Linked DNA regions of Arabidopsis thaliana. The protein of the gene in region 1 interacts with the protein of each later gene in a biochemical or structural test. Each region holds a gene or a part of one and is shown on either strand. Other genes may lie near its edges.

Evidence for each region. The genes of interacting proteins can lie anywhere in the genome.
Region 2: the proteins of XBAT31 (region 1) and BRL2 form a complex in vitro, tested with the Arabidopsis thaliana proteins (one study listed by BioGRID).

What each region holds. Positions count from the first base shown.
Region 1 is NC_003071.7:12,375,350-12,383,232, reverse strand, and holds XBAT31 (uncharacterized protein), read right to left. Parts: upstream 4,962-7,883; 5' UTR 4,692-4,961; coding exon 4,512-4,691; coding exon of another isoform or gene 4,424-4,511; coding exon 4,364-4,423; intron 4,287-4,363; coding exon 4,215-4,286; intron 4,142-4,214; coding exon 4,020-4,141; intron 3,939-4,019; coding exon 3,798-3,938; intron 3,708-3,797; coding exon 3,600-3,707; intron 3,525-3,599; coding exon 3,272-3,524; intron 3,194-3,271; coding exon 2,759-3,193; 3' UTR 2,424-2,758; downstream 1-2,423. UniProt on the Arabidopsis thaliana protein: No E3 ubiquitin-protein ligase activity observed when associated with the E2 enzyme UBC8 in vitro.
Region 2 is NC_003071.7:438,094-447,045, forward strand, and holds BRL2 (BRI1-like 2), read right to left. Parts: upstream 6,232-8,952; 5' UTR 6,144-6,231; coding exon 2,712-6,143; 3' UTR 2,531-2,711; downstream 1-2,530. UniProt on the Arabidopsis thaliana protein: Receptor with a serine/threonine-protein kinase activity, which may transduce extracellular spatial and temporal signals into downstream cell differentiation responses in provascular and procambial cells.

The DNA.
Region 1 (7,883 bases):
AGGAGCATCAACATCTGTTAATAAAAGCAAATAAGGGAACATTTGGAAGTTGCAAATCAAATGCACGTTCTCTCTATATGCTTTAACATGAAGCATTTTGGATCCTCCGAGGATTAAGATACGGATCGAAGAGAAATCTGCCGGTGTTGTGACAGTTAGTGAGTACATGTTTCTCTTAAGAAATATTTAACTTGATCAAGGGAAACCGTTATAGGCATATGGTTTCCAATAATGGATACACTTCTGAAGTTGTAGTTGATGAATACATGGGATAATCGAAAAGTAAACATGGAGGTTTTTGTTACAAAAGAGTATAGCAAAATGAACAATCTCAACATCAAAATCATACAATAATCTGAGTTATCAGAAACTCACTAGTGTGTCATTATTTTAAATAACCTGGAAGTTCTAGGCTTAAACTCCATACATTTTCTATAGCATTTAAAATTTTACCTTAGCTCGTGTAGTTCTAAATACTTACGTTTTCTGTTTATTTAGATTCAACCAATAACCCAACCGCCCGTTGTCTTGTATTCAGCTACATCTAGATACAAACTTCAGTTTACGAAACTTTCAGGATATGAGACAGTGATAAAATTTCTTAATTATACACAAAAACTTGTAAACCTGGATCGAGAACTATAATTATATTTAAGTTTAGGTTCTATGTTATTATAGTTAGCTCATTTGTTTTTCGAAATGATTCAAAATGACATGATTTTATCAGTTCATATGTGTATGTTTAACTTGTGAGTAGAAGAATGTTAGGGAATATAAGTCGCGTATTGTCAGTTTAGTGTGTTTGTATATTCGATGGTATTATTAGAGATCAAAGATCAGGTAAGTGTAAGTAAGAGACGTTGATTTGGCAACCTTTCAAGACAATATGACACGTTTGAACTTTCATACATATGTACGGTGTGACTTGCGAGTCCTATGACATGTGACCACGAGTACTTGGGAAACGGAAAATAAAATGGATATTATCATGTAGCACGAAAGTGATAGGGGGGGGGGGGGGGGGCTAGAGAAACTGATTGGATCATATTATGTCGATATTATATATCGAAATTAGTTTCTTGGTGGGTTAAGGTATCTAATCTAAATCTGCTTTCATCAACCCTTGGGTCGGGTTCATAACCCGACAACTAATTATACCACCAGAAAAGTGGGTCCGAAAAGTTAGAATTGAAATGTCAAAGCATGACAAACTTACACAATTGTGACTAGAGGTGGAATTACTAAGTACCAAAACTGGGACAGGTTTAAGCATCATAAATTGCCTAATTGTGTTTAGCGATGAAATTACTATCAAAGATTTAAAATCCTATTTACTATTTCATCACACCCATTCTAAATTTTTTTTTTGGATTCATCAGAGTTACTAGTTCTAAATTTTGATATTTTGATTATAAAATATGCAATCGGATTAGCTAAATATATGGAAAAAAAAATCACCTAATAGTTTTTGCATCTGTAGTATTTGATTTTTCATATAAAACTACATATACTAACTCATTTTCATTTTTATACTATAGTAGATTTAATTTGCATAGAAATATTTAAAATTTTAGCATTATCTATTTTATATAATTTTCATGTGAATTATTTATTTTCTCACGGATATGATTTGAATTTTTAGAATATTTCAATGTTTGGACGGACATTCGAAATCTAAAACTTGGATATCAAAATATCCAGATATCCAAAAATCTCGAATATGGATCTTAATAGTTGTTGTTCAAATACCATTTTCAAATATTGTAGAATTTTATGATATCTAATCCATTTATCCCTCTAATTTTTATCACTTTGTATTTATTTTTATTTTTTTATTTTTCTTCTTCTTCTTGACATCGATTCAACCTACTCTTTAGGCTTAAACACGTTTTAGACATATAAAAGTAAGAAATCAATCACGCATTCTTTTCGTTTGTCTAATTTTATGTTATCATAACCAGTAGGTTTACTTTTCTAAAATCGATTTAGATAAATAAATACCCACCGAATCGGTCTTCCCTATGACTCGATACTAATTGTCTTGACGTACCAAAACTAATTGTCCAAGAATAAACAAAAAGTGGCCATGTGTATCTACTAGTTGATCTAAATTGACCAAAGTTAAAAATGTTTTAGATATTTTAGTTAAAGTACAAAGGAGCCATATTTGGAGACCACAAGTTGCTAGAAAGTGATGGGATCGTGTAGGGTCAATGATCCCTAAACACCACCGAGATAAAACCTTTTCTTCTTCTTTTTCAGACTCTCCATCTTAATCCACGTTGGTCGTTGGCGACTTATTAGCAGCCGTTCACATCACATTTGTTCCCTTCTCACAAATCCAACCTAAATTCTCCAGGTTTTTGTATATAGTGAAAATATAAAATTAGACAAACGAAAATTATCATTTTTAATGAAATAGTAGGCGAAAAGTCTAATTTGCCTTTTCTTGGTAAGTTAAGTGAGAAAATAACCAAAAAAAGTGAGACAAAGACAAAAAGATTATGGGTTTCCCTTTCATATCAAGTAACCAAATAATAACAACAACAAACAATTTTGGCCAAACTTAATCAAAGAAACAACAAATCCTTGCATTACACACCTCCCCACATCTTTTTCCTTATTTCAATCTTCCTCCCTTCAACAAAAGATCTAACATAAATTCATCTATATTTTATACATTCTCACAATTTCATCCCCTCATCTTTTTTATTGCTCCCCCATGCCCCAAAATGTCCCTTAAAACGGAATCGATCCCTCACAATATTGGTTTGTCCATCAGCTCGTTTTCGGCTGCGATCCTTCCCGAGCCACGGCCGGTTATCCTACCGAATGATCCAATAGTTGATAGTCCCATGAAGCTGCTGCTTTCTTCGCCAAGGTTTATTGATCTTCTATGTTTTCTGAATTTGGAGGAGCTAACATCACCTGCCTCACGATCAACAACAACAACATCATCTAGGCTTTTGCTCTTTTCGTTGTTGTTGTTGTTGTTCTGGGCGACGACTAAACATGCAATGGTGCTTCTACAGAACGGACAGACCGGTGGAGTCACGGTTGAGGTCGTTGGGTTTGGTTTGTTGTGACAGCACAGTGCAAGTGTGCATTGTGCACACATTTGGTGACCACAGTCTTTAACTTCAATTGTACATACTTGCTCAAAGCAAATGCAGCACAGTTCCGTATCACTCACCTATAGACACATTTACATGTTACTACAATCACAAAAATTACCGAGCCACGGGGAAAGTAAAGAGTGTAGTATTATTACCTCGGACATGTTATCATCCGTGTCAGAGAAAGAGGGTGATGGTAAGGAATAAGCTGTTCCTTTGAGGATGGTTTTCTCTCTCTCCCTGTTAGCCTCCATTAAAGCCTGCTCTAAGAGAAGTTTCGCCTCGTCATTAAGCTCACTGATGAACTTTAATGGTGATGGCCAAACAAGTGGCTCTGCAGAGGACGGATTAAGTAAGGCTCCACATGCTCCATGCTTATGCTTCATCGCAACCACATAAGGTATTCTCCTGAAAAGATATTTCAAGATTCAAGTTATGTTCTGAAACCAAAACAAGACTTTTCCACAAAATTTATATATATACCCAGAAGCGTCTCGTTGAAGACGATCAGCACCCCAAGCAAGCAACTTTCTGACACAATCTATAGATCCACTTCTAGCTGCTAAATGAAGAGGTGTGCTTCCTGGAGAACTGTTTCAACAAAAGCTTAAAGAATCAGTTCCAATAGAACAAAACATCTAAGAACTGTTGATTTCAATGCATGACAAGAAAAACCATTACCCATATACACTAGTAGATGCACAAACAAGAGAACCACTATCCAACAAAACATTCACACATTCAGGTCGTCTCTGTCGAGCAGCTAAATGCAACGGAGTCGCTCCTTTATCATCTCTTATGTTCACAAATCTCGCATATCCCCTGAAAATGAAAACCCCTGAGTGTCAAAAGTTTCATTCTCAGGAATAAGTAAACTCTGATCAAAGATAGGAAGAGACTTACCAATGGACAGCAACAGGACTTGATTGAGCAGCAGAGAGAATAGCTTGAACACAATTAGCATGTCCATAATAAGCAGCGTAATGCAAACATGTTCTTCGATTCACAGAATCAAACATCAAAATCTGCAGATTCCAAAAGATTTTCAATTACCAAATCCAAAATCGATTCAATTGCAAAACAAAAAAGTAAACGTACATTAGCTCCAACTTCAGCTAGCTTCTTCACACAAGAGATTCTTCCATACATCGCAGCCAACATTAACGGAGTCTACAAGACGAATCAAAGCATCAGCAAAAGATTCATGAAAACTATACACAGAACAGATCAATGCGAAAATCAAAAACCTGCTTGTGACGATTCAACAAATCTGGATTCGTAAATCGTTCCAAAAGCAATGACAAAATCTGCAAAAAAAGTAGATACATCAGAAACAAAAATACCAGATTCCGACGAGATTCCGGCGAGATCTCGGAGAATATCACTGAAACTAACCTCGATCTGACCATTAGCAGCAGCGACATGAAGAACAGAGTGACGATCATAAGGAGTAGTTTGATTCAACAGACTAGGCTCCGTCGCCATCACACGACGGATAGTGATGATATCGCCGCACTGTACAGAGGCGAATATTCCGTGCTCCGGTCGACTTCCACAGCTCATACTCTGCCCCATCTCTCGAAGATTTTGGTTAGAGCTCTGTGTAAAGAGATGGTGATTGATGGAGGTTTTAGGAGAGGAACAACGACACCGTCTGCCACCGGTGAGGCGCTCCGATGAGAGAATAAAGCGCCACCGTGACGGAGAACGGTGGTTGTGTGAGAGCTTTTAACAATGGAGAAGAAGAAGAGGGAAGAAGATTCACATTTATGTACACATTGATAGAGTCATTTGTTGAGAAGATATTAATTTTTAAATTTTTTTTTTGTTTTTTTTATAAAGTTGATTAAAAAAAAAAGAGAGAGACGGAGATAAAGAGAGACGACTCTCTATTGGAGGATTTGCCCGACGGGCAGTTTTTTTTTTTTTTTTTTTTTTTTTTGCCCGTTGTCAGTTTTGTTACAGTTACTTGTGATTTCGGGCAGTCTTGTCAGATATTTTCTATTTTTATTTTGAGGCCATTTTTTTTTTCTTGTAGCTTTTTTCTTTGAGATTAATTATATTTTCTTTGATTTGCCAAAAATAGGATGGTTTTGTCCACAAGAAACTGATTTTAATGAACAAAATTTACAAATTTACTGTTTGAGTGATCACCACATCTTAACTAAGATTCATCATAGATATGTTGGATCAAATTAGTAAAATAACCGGACTTCCAAAAAAATTATTATGATATGAATTCGTGTGATTTGATCTGTATAATGAGATCCTAAAACTGTGTTTTTGAACAATTTTTCAATTTTTTCGGTAAAAATTTGGAGTCGATAAGGCTTTTAATATACATGTAGGGGGTGATATCAATGTTACAAACATTATGTAAATCATGTTTTCTGATCCAATACAACACATTAGTTTAATAAAAAAAGTTTGATTATTTCACCATTGTCAAAATTAGTCATAGTAAGTCTTCTAGATCCTATACTAAATTATCGATGATTGTAGGATAGGCGATTCGATTATTGGAAAGGGAACAATGTTAGGTGTTTTGCTAGATGGTGTGAAGAAAAATTTTAACACTTAAGTCACAAATAAACAAGAAAAGAAATGGTAGTTTATGTACAAGCTAGTTCAAAGGAAATTTAAAGTTTAATATGCTATTTGTAGATTCTAGTACACAATTTTTAGAATTGTACTAGAACTTCGGGAAAGCTAATTCGATCAAAGAAGTTTTTAGAAAAACAAATTTAAATAGTAGGCAGTTTCGACAGAAGCTAAAGCAATTTAGTTTGGTTTGAAATAATATAAATTTATAAAATGACATGATATTCTTAAAATATTGTACATATTAAATTACCTAACTTAATGACTATATCTTCATTTTCTCTAATAACACATAGTTATTTTGATACAGTATATATATCATAAATTTTATTATTTAAACATAAATGGTTCCAAAATGATTATGCACTCTTCCTTGGATATTTAACAAAAAGAAACACACTCATATGTATACTATTCATGGAGTATTATATAGATACAATATCTGCATATTATAACTAAAAAGCATATAAATAATTTGTGGTCAATATTATACTAAAAGCCAACAAGCAGCCCACTTGAAATTTTCTCATCGGAGTCCAAGTGGCCGTTTGATGACCTTCGCTTCCCGATGTGGACTTCGACATCAAATCTCGAATGCTTTGTTTCACTTTTTTTCTTCTTTAAATTCAATATTAAGAGCTATTTTATTAGATTCCTTATTTCAGATTATATATATGTCTATTGTTGATATAAGCTGGTAAAATGTTTTGGGTTAAAAAAAAATATATCATTGCAATATATCATGCAAATCTGTCAGCCATTTATGTACGACTAAGATCTGTCATAAAATCTCGTGACTATGATTTTATATGATGAGGTTGCATATATATTTCTCTTGTACTGGATGTATCGTCCTCGTACATAGTTTATTTAGGTAGTGGTACCTATCTAAAACTTTGATTAGTCCTAACGATTTTCTCCTAATCGTTGAGAACTTGTCCGTCTGTGTCCAACTTGCAAATAGGGTCTTCCTTTGAAAGAAGAGCCTTAACGACAGTTAGATTGGAATATGGATGATCTCAAAACATAGAATTCAGAGATTGTAAAGCAAATTATTTGGGTTTATATATAAAAAAAAAGAATTACGATTGACGAATCACCAATCATTACTTGGCATAGAGTTATAGACAAAAGCATCTAACCAAACCTACGTACGTGTCTCTAATATTGTTCTACTACTATACTGTATTAATTACAATACGACATTTCAATCGAAAATATAGTAACGTGTATTTGGAATATTGGCCCAAAATTTGTTGACCAGAATGGCGTTTTTCTTCTTTTTTTTTTTTTTTTTTTCTACTAGTTGAGTAAACATCACAACCGAACTCGTTTTAATAGAAACATATTCAGTAAAAAACAGATTGTGTCGCCAATTTTCACCAGTTTGATATAACTCGATTTCTTTCAAACTTTCTAACCCATGCTTTTTTTTGCGGCCAAAATTGTTTGCATTTTCTGACTTAAAGACGATATTTGCTTTTGGAAAACACCAAATAGATGTTCCATGATTTGTTTTTGTTTGTCAGCATATATATGTTCCATGAATTAATATGACTTTTTTGGTTGTCCCAGTGAGTTATTTACTGTCGTGTCGAATTATTGATCAACAGTTTAATTCCAACAAAACAATAAATTTGTTCACTAAGGTACTTGTACTCATTTTTACTCCAAGAAAAAAAAAAGAGTTATTACACTCCAAACTAACAAAAATACTGAAACCTGGTCTATACGGAATTTGTGTGTGTGTGTTTTATTATAAGGTTCTCATTGATGGGTGCCTTTTATTTTCCATTGATCGGTGCGTTCATTTTGACGAAATATCTATATACTCACTCATATAGTAATGTCATATTTATGATGGGAAATAGTTGACCAAATTATTTATTTTCTTACTGAATAGTCGTATAGCGTTTACTACATGACTCTTATCATCTATTGAAGATGATTCAAAGCGTGTTGTGGTGGTATGGGTAGGGGGTCCTTAAGCATGTCTCATTTATTTATTTTGATAAAAACAAGTATGTCTCATTTTTGTATCCACCTAATCACATTTTTCATTTTTATGAGACCCTAAACAACTAAAATAAAGTCTACATTTATACCAAAACTAAGAATGTTAGATTATATTCATTTAAAATATGTCATAATTTCAATTTAAAATTC
Region 2 (8,952 bases), about 12 Mb from region 1:
TTGCTATATCTGTGTTTTGCACTGAAACTTGAAGCATTTTATTATTTTGTCTTTTTCAGTTTTGTTCTTATATTAGCTCTTAGTAAATCAAAATTTGGCATTTTCCTTTCTCATTTAATTCCAAATATATATTTTAAATCTTCATAAATTGTTCAATCTCCATTATTAATATACGTGTACCTTGATAATTTTTGCCCATGACACAATATGTTCTTTGTTATCTTCCATTTAGACACTTTCCATTGTTTTCTCTAATAATTCAATCACTTTTTTTTTTCAGATAAGACATGCAACATGCACTACAAATATACAATAGGACGTGTTTAAAAGATAAGTTCATTTTAACCTAAGAAAATATTATGCTAGTTTTAACCGTTCAGAATAATTATCGGCATTATATGATCTATGAATCAATCTATCATCCATGATACTCATGAAAATGTAGTATTCGTTTGCTTTCATTTATTTCTTAACCCTTTTATACGATGTGACAAGTCAACTGTACTACCATTTATTTTCCAGAAGAATAAGGCTTATTTATATATATCGAGGATCCGAATGGTGACTGCGTTTTGCGGTGCGGGAAAAATGCGGTGCGGTTCAAATAATAACGAAAATACATAAATACATATATCTATATATAGATTTTGATATTATTACAGCATTGTTGCATTGCGGTTTTAGGTGCGGTTTATATCATCATTTATGACCTGAATTACAAAACAAATTTTGGTCCTTATAAAACAAATTTTGGAAACAAATTATGTTTAGTAAGACCAACATTTTTTTTTTTGGGTTAAAGACCAAAATTTGTTTTCAACAGAAAAGAGATAAGGCTGTGAGAAAGTGTCAGATCACACAGGAAAGGAAACATGCATTGTGGCATTGTTAGCTAAAAGAAACAAAATTCGAATTGTGACATATAAAAACAAAAGAAACATCAATATTCTTGCGAGGATTTGATACACATATCTTACTGTAATATTTTTTAACTTATATATCAAAATTGCAGGGAGGGGAGTGTTCTTCTAGATAAAGTAGAGCAAAAGGACGATAAAAAATTAAAAATATAACAGTAAAAAAAGTAAAGTAAGACAAAATTATTTACATAATTTTTTTGATGTAACAGAGGAAAGAGAAAAACTATTTGATTGCCAGTGTGGGTTTGCAGAGACAAATATACCCCGCGCCTGCAAAATCCTTTACTCTGTTTTGTTAATTTACAAGTTTACCCCTTAGATAGTTACTGGGATCCCACCGTCGAGATGTCTTGTCACACGTGAATTCTACTACTAAGATACTATTATTTCTCTGCTCTCCACTTTCACGTAACATCTTATACTATACAGTTTTTATACATTCTATACGATATACAATCTACGAAAAAAAAAACGATATACAATCTACCGAAATAGTATAGTTATAGGTCTGTTTATATAGTCTTATAGATTTGCACATTTTTCAAACAATGATGATATGAGACCTAATTTTCTTAGGGTATTTTCAATGGTCTTTCTATATTTTTCTTTATTTTTAAAGGTGATTCTATTTTAGAGGTATTGTATTCTAATAATCATCTCTAAAATTAAGTTTTCTTATAAAAAAAAATAGAGATATATTTTTTTTTAAATAGAGATGTTTACTTTTTGAGGAAACTCTATTTTATACGTGACTATTGGTGCACAATGCCTCTAAAATATAATCACCTCTAAAATAAAAAAAATTATAGTGGTCACTTTTTCAAAATATTTAGAAGTTGCATATCCGAAAGCATGCAACTTCTAAATATTTTGAAAAAGTGACCACTATAATTTTTTCTATTTTAGAGGTGATTATATTTTAACCTATATTCTCCTCCATATTCTCCTTTTATATTTTGAAAAAGTGACCACAGTTTTTGACCTATATTCTCCTCCATATCCAAAAACAACCGTTTGATAATACCGTTGTTAATGTGTTAATCATTTCTTTCAATTAGAATGGAACTATTGAAATTTGAAAACTCTAAATTACTAGACAACCACCTACTTGATTCACATCAACAAGTATAAATTCACACATACTAATGAAGTAACACATTGAAATATATTCTCTTTTGTGGTTTGAAATACTATTCTCACAAAAAAAAATATTCTACTCACGAATGTATAGTCTTATAGTGTTAGATGTTCATAGGCCTGAAGGAGAAAGAGTCATTATGGGCCTAATGTTTCTATATTCTAAATAGTTCTTTATGGCCCAAATATAATTTTGAAACTTCAGTTGTTGAGCCCATTTGTATGTTCTCTATCCAAAGCCTAATCGTGTGTATTCGAGCGTTTAATAAAGAACAATTTTTTTTTTTTTTTTTTTCTAATACCAGGAAGTTCTGGGCCAATGTCGGTAATCCTTTCATGCACGAAACCACATCGTGTAATATTAGTTTCGTTTCAAGCGTTACTCAAATCGGCGTTCTCTAAGCTTCGTTTACGGTCTTTACCAATTGAGCTAACGACACTCGGTAATAAAGAACAATTCACCAACTAAGACTCTGATTTGTTATAATCTGCATAGTTATTTATTAAAGGAATCAGAATTTAAATTACATTAATTAAGTCTTGATACATCATGAAATTTTAATCATTGATCAACCACACATACACATTCTCACAGGAAAAAAAAATGCATTGAAAAAGCCAGAAAAACAAAAAAAAACAGAGATCTTCATGTTGTTACAAGCTGTTACTGTGACTGTGACTATTATTTTCACTTCCACGAAGTTCTCTCAACGAAGCAACAACTTGTAACATATTAGGTCTCTTTGATGGGAAATCGTCAACGCACCGTAACGCTATCTCCAAATACCTCAACATTTCTTTCACAATCACTCCTCCTTCAAAACCTTCTTTCTCATTCAGAGACTCCGAAGAACCTTCTTTTAGAAGGTCTTCATCAATCACTTCCATGTGTTTCCCTTCTCTTGCCTTCATCTTCGACCAACCTACTAAATTCGTATCACCAAACTCTTCTTTATCCGTTGGTCTTTTCCCGCTTAAGATCTCGAGCATCACTACTCCGATTGAGTACACGTCGCCTTTTGCGGTACATCTGAAACTTTGGTAATACTCTGGTGGTACGTAACCTGGCGTGCCTGCCAAGGTACTTACACTCAAATGTGTGTCTAATGCGCTGATCAGTCTCGCCATTCCGAAATCTGAAACTCTTGCTTCCATGTCTTGATCGAGAAGCACGTTGCTCGATTTCATGTCGCGGTGGATTATGTGAGGGATACAATTGTGATGCAAGAAACAAAGTCCTTTTGCTGCTCCTTTTGCAATCTTTTTCCTCTCTTCCCAACCTAAAATCCTCCGTTTTTCGCCTGTTCTTGGTCCGTGAAGCACCTCCTCGAGGCTTCCGTATTGCATAAACTCGTAAACAAGCAATCTCTCTTCCCCGATTTTACAGTATCCCAAGAGCGGTACGAGGTTTCGGTGTTTGATCTTCCCTAAGGTTTCCATTTCTGCCATGAACTCTCGATCTCCTTGACAACTAAGTCTAATGAGCTTCTTGATCGCCACGGAAGACCCGTCTTTAAGCGTCGCCTTAAAAACCTCACCGAATCCGCCGTGTCCGATCATACTCGCGGCTGAGAATCCGTTTGTCGCCTCGATAAGCTGCGAAAACTTAAGCTTTCTCAACTGTCGCTGAAACGTCGCTACATTAATACTCAACGGCTCTTTCTCCTTCTCTATCTTCCATGTAGTGGCGGAATTAACCGCCTGCAAACTGTGAAGCATCTTCGCATCATCCGCATCTCTCCTCCTCGCACGAACCGCAATCGCCCAAACGATTAAAATACAAACCGAAGCAGCGGAAATCAACACTCCCAAAACAATGCTATTCGCCCAAGAAGCTGCCCTAGTTCCGTGCTTAGCACGTTTCCCTTCCTCTGTTCCAGCAGGAAGCTGATTGTTTCCATTCTTACATTCCGGTAAAGGAACACCGCAAAGCCCCGGATTATTCGCGTACTGAGTCGCCGGAAGCGTGCTTAACTGACCTCTCTGAGGAATCGGACCAGTTAACTCGTTATTCGACAAATCAATCTGCACCAAGAAAGACAAATTCGAGAAAGATTCAGGGATTTGACCCTGCAACCGATTATCCGAAGCATCGAAAACACCGAGATTCTTGAGCTGACCAATCGTAAACGGAATCTCGCCGGAGAGTTGATTATGAGAAAGCTCAAGAACTTGAAGAGCAATCATTTCTCCAATCTCATCAGGGATTTTACCTCTAAGCTGATTATAAGAAAGATCAAGATACTCAATGGTTTGATATCTTGTGAATAGACTCAAAATTGGACCTGAATACATTCTTGTGAAGTCACAGCTTTTAAGAGATGGAATCTGAAGAAGCCTCTCTGGTCTGATCCCTGAGAACTCAACCAAACCTCCAACACCTTTACATGAGTTTCCAACGTTTCTAACAAAAGCCATTGTGTTTCCTGAGAGTAAACCGGAAAGTGCTTTTGAACCGGGTTGACGACCTAACCGGGGAGGGATTTCACCGGTTAAGTGGTTTGTGTTAAGATCAAGCCAAACCAGAGTTGTGCATTTTCCTAGCTCCGGTGGGATTTCTCCGGTGAAATTGTTGTTACCGAGCTGAAGAACGGCTAACCGGGAAAGGATTCCGAAATCTTTAGGCACTTCTCCGGTTAATCTGTTGCTTGTGAATGAGACCCATTCGATGTTACTGCAATTGAAAAATTCCGGTGGGATTTCTCCGGTGAGTTGATTGTTGTTGAGGATCAAATCTTTTAGGTTTTGTAGTTTTCCGATCTCCGGTGGGATTTCTCCGGCGATGTTGTTGTACCAAGCTATGAATTGCTCGAGTTTCTGGAGGTTTCCGATCTCCGGTGGGATTGTACCGTTGAGATAATTGAGACTGAGATCAATCGTTCGTAGCTCAGAGCATTGAGATATCGCCGGTGGAATCTCTCCGGTGACGAGATTATCCGGGAGTCTTAGCTCTTCTAATGAAGCTGCTCCGGGACATAAATCCGGTGGAATCACACCGGAGAATCGATTCGAGCTGAAGTCAGCGATTCTCAAGCTCTTACAAGCAGAGATTGAAGTCGGAAAGTCACCGGAGATTAAGTTGTTGCTGAGAAGTAAGATTTGAAGAGATCCAAAACTCCGGAGGATAGTGTTCGGAAACGGACCGGAGATGTTGTTGTTTGAAAGGTCAAGACTTTGTAGCCAAGAACATGAGGACAACGACTCAGGGATCACACCAGTGAAGTTGTTGTAAGAAAGCCGGAGGTTTTGTAATGACCGGCAAGTATCTCCGATCTCCGGCGGGATCCAACCGGTGAGTCGGTTATGAGAAAGATCCAAACTTTGTAAGAGTTTAAGCTCACCGAAAGATTTTGGAATCTGCCCATCGAAGTTGTTGTAAGAAAGATTCAAGCTTTTGAGGTTGGTGCAGTTGATGAGTGAGTCAGAGATATAGCCGGAGATACTGTTACCGGAGAAATCGAGATAGGTCATGGAGACGCAAGAAGAAAGAGGAATGGTTAAACCGGAGATTGGACCGGTAATGTTGTTGTAAGAAAGATCAAGGGTTTGGAGTTTCTTGCTGCTTAAGAAAAGATCATTAGGTAACTTTCCGGTGAAGTTATTGTAAGAGAGGGTGATGGAAATAAGATTTGAGTATTTGGAGAAGAAATTTTCAGGGAGGGTTCCGATTAAACCGGAGGAAGAGAGTTCGAGATGAGTTAGGGTTAAAGGAAGAAGAAGAAGAGAGGTTGAGTTTAAGACGAAGAAGTTCTCTGAGAGTTTGAGAACAGAGAGAGAATCAAGAGAGGTGAAAGCATTGAAGGAGACGATTCCGGAGAGGCCACTACCGGAGAGATTAATCTCGGTGACTCTTCCTCCGAGACAAGTGACGCCGGAGAATTGACAAGGGGATTTACGAGGTGACCAGTTTGAGAGAATGTTGTTTGGATCATCTTGGATCATTGTTTTGAAAGAGAGGAGTGATAATGAGTCGGTTTTGAGTGAAGATTGGTCGGAGGAGGAAGATTGTGAGAGATGGGTAAGGAGGAAGATGAAGGAGATTTGGATCCGAGTCCGGATCCGAACCCGGATTGGTGAAGTAGTCATTGGAGGGAGGTTTTTTGAGTTTGAATGGAGAAGGAGAAGTAAGTAAGTTGAAACATTTAGATGATAAAGAGACGATGCTAAAGCAGAGGAAGAAAAAGGGCTTTTTTTGAAGAAAAGAAAAAGCTGCTTTTAGGTAATTTATTAAGTTTTATTAATTGTTGATGCTTATTATTTTTAAAACATCTTTGTCGAATCGTTTTTTTTTACATATGATGTTTTTCTAATAGATGATTGATTTATTAAATGGTTATGATCAATCTTATGATTTTGTGGAATTGTGATCATGACTTGTAGTGATTTGTGTAAGTGACATTATTAATCTAATAGAATACATGTTGTTTGATAATCAAAAAAATTAAGTTCAGTTTATAGAATAAAACTCTAATATTTAGAAAAATATGTTTTCAGTTTCATTTAGTCCTATATCTATTTGTTTCTAATGGTTTCATAATTTTAATTCATTAAAGCTCCATGTGGGGATTTTGAACCTTAGAAAGAATTATGATCACTGCTAATTTTCTAAATGGGAATTGTATCTATGAGATGTTTCACAAATTTCAATGAAGAAAAAGTGTAGTATTATATAAACTTCCATTTAAAAATTTAGCTATATACTATTGTTGTATAACATTTCTTAAAATGATTTAAATATTAGTTGTATAACATTTCTTAAAATAATTTAAATATTAGATGACAAGCAACTAGATCTAATAAGAGTCGGAAGGAATTGTCCGTTGTAGAATCGTCTATGTAACAGTGCAATAAATAATAAATCTAAGACTGGCAAAAAAAAATAATTGACAAGCAACTGAATATGAATATAGTTAGTGATATAGTGACAACACTAATAAAAACGAACATAATAGAAATTCTAGTCTATAATCACATCAAGTTTGGAATTTTGGGATAATTTGTTTTGTTTTTGTTGTGTATTGTATTAATACTTTATTTAAAAAAAAAACAAAACCTTTTACAAAAGAATGGCAATTATATTGAAAGGAATTTTGGGAGAAATTATTCCAAACCGATATACAAATATTTCATATGGTGGGGTGTGTGGTCAAAATAATTGGGACCCAATTTAGTCATAATATGCATCGCATATGAAATGGTCTTTTGTAAAATTTGGTTGATCCAATGTTCACTGTCGAGGCAGAGGCGTGGGGGAATGAACAGAGAAGTGACTTTACAAATTACAATAACAAACTTTAAGGTGTAACCATAATGTTGCTCACTTCTTTTTCCATTTTTATGTGATTTTAATTAGTTTAGTTTCATATAATATGCCATAGATGAGCCTTTATATCATGTTCCATGTCACACACTCCATCCTTTTCATCATTACACTGCCTTCTTCCACCAAGTTTATGAGTAGATTTGTATGACTTAAGCAAAATATTAGCTTGATTATTTCAGCCAACGAGAAAATGCTATTTTGAAATGTTCATTGATAAATAATCATATACACATATTAAAGAAAAAAATATACACAAGTCATATTTTAAAATGTTTCAATTGGTTATACCCTAGCTACCATTCAATTGCACAAGAGACTATTTCTTTAAGATCAATAGTTTCTAGTAAGAAATAATTATTCTTAGAACATTTTTCCATTGCAATTAATAGTGCAAATCTTATCACCTATAGTGTGATTTTGTGTGTTATAAATTTGTAATATATCATACTGTTGAAGACTATAGAGTATATTTTATTGATTCTGTTTAATAAATAAAGGACCGAATAGTGGAGAGTAATAGAGAAAAAGCCCCACAAAAGAAACAACATCAATTAGCTCGTGGTTTAGTGGCATGAGAGGTTATGATTCCTTTGGCCCCAATATTTTTAAATAATTCTTTATGTAAATTCTTCTTTTCACTACCACTAATCCTTATATCTGTTTTGTATGAATTTTGTTCTGTATTCTCTTGAACGTCAAGTTATTTGACCGCTCAACAAGTAATTCCAATCGAAATCAGACTAATTTGCAATTTTGTATGAGTAGTGAGTAAATACAGTATACCACAAAGATTGACTTCTCCCCATGGCCATAAAGAATCAACATTGAAAAATATTCGGTAAACGTTTTAGACTTTTAGTTATTTTTTTTTGTCCAAAGTGTGTAGTATTTGAATTCTATTTGCATGTGAGTTTTAGTGTGGAATCACTAAGTATTTGATGTGTTTACGAGTGAATTACTTTGACGATTCAAGTTGGTTTAATAGTGTGTTGTTTGAGGATTCATTCTATTAGATATGTGTATATAGTTAGTTGATTGTATATAGTATAGTTGACATTTACATGTGCGTATTGATACTTGTATATATAGTTCATTGTACACATACTTTACAATTAATGAGAATCAGAAGTTATTTAGCTAAGATCTTAATACATTAAAAAAAGACCACATCTCTATGACTCTATCGATACTTTCTTCCATCCGACCACTATAGTTTCAAATCTTTGCTTCCGTTAATTGAATCATTAGGTGGATTTCTGTGTGTTTTTATAGTAGATATAATACATTTGGGGTTACCATAAAGTTTAAGAGATCTTAAGAGCAAGATTTTGTCTTTATTAAAGGGAAATAATCCAAAATAGAAATAGTAGATGTTGATTTTTTTTTAAAATTTTTAATAATAAAAACGGAAATTACCATATATTTTAAAGAATGCGGAAAGAGAGGTTTTAGGCTTTTGCTTCTATAGGTGTTGCAACTCAATCTTTTTGTTTGTTGCTAAGCTTGTAAATATCATTTAAAACAAAGTTTGAGGTATATTACAAAGAACACTACTCAAAGTTATAATAGAGT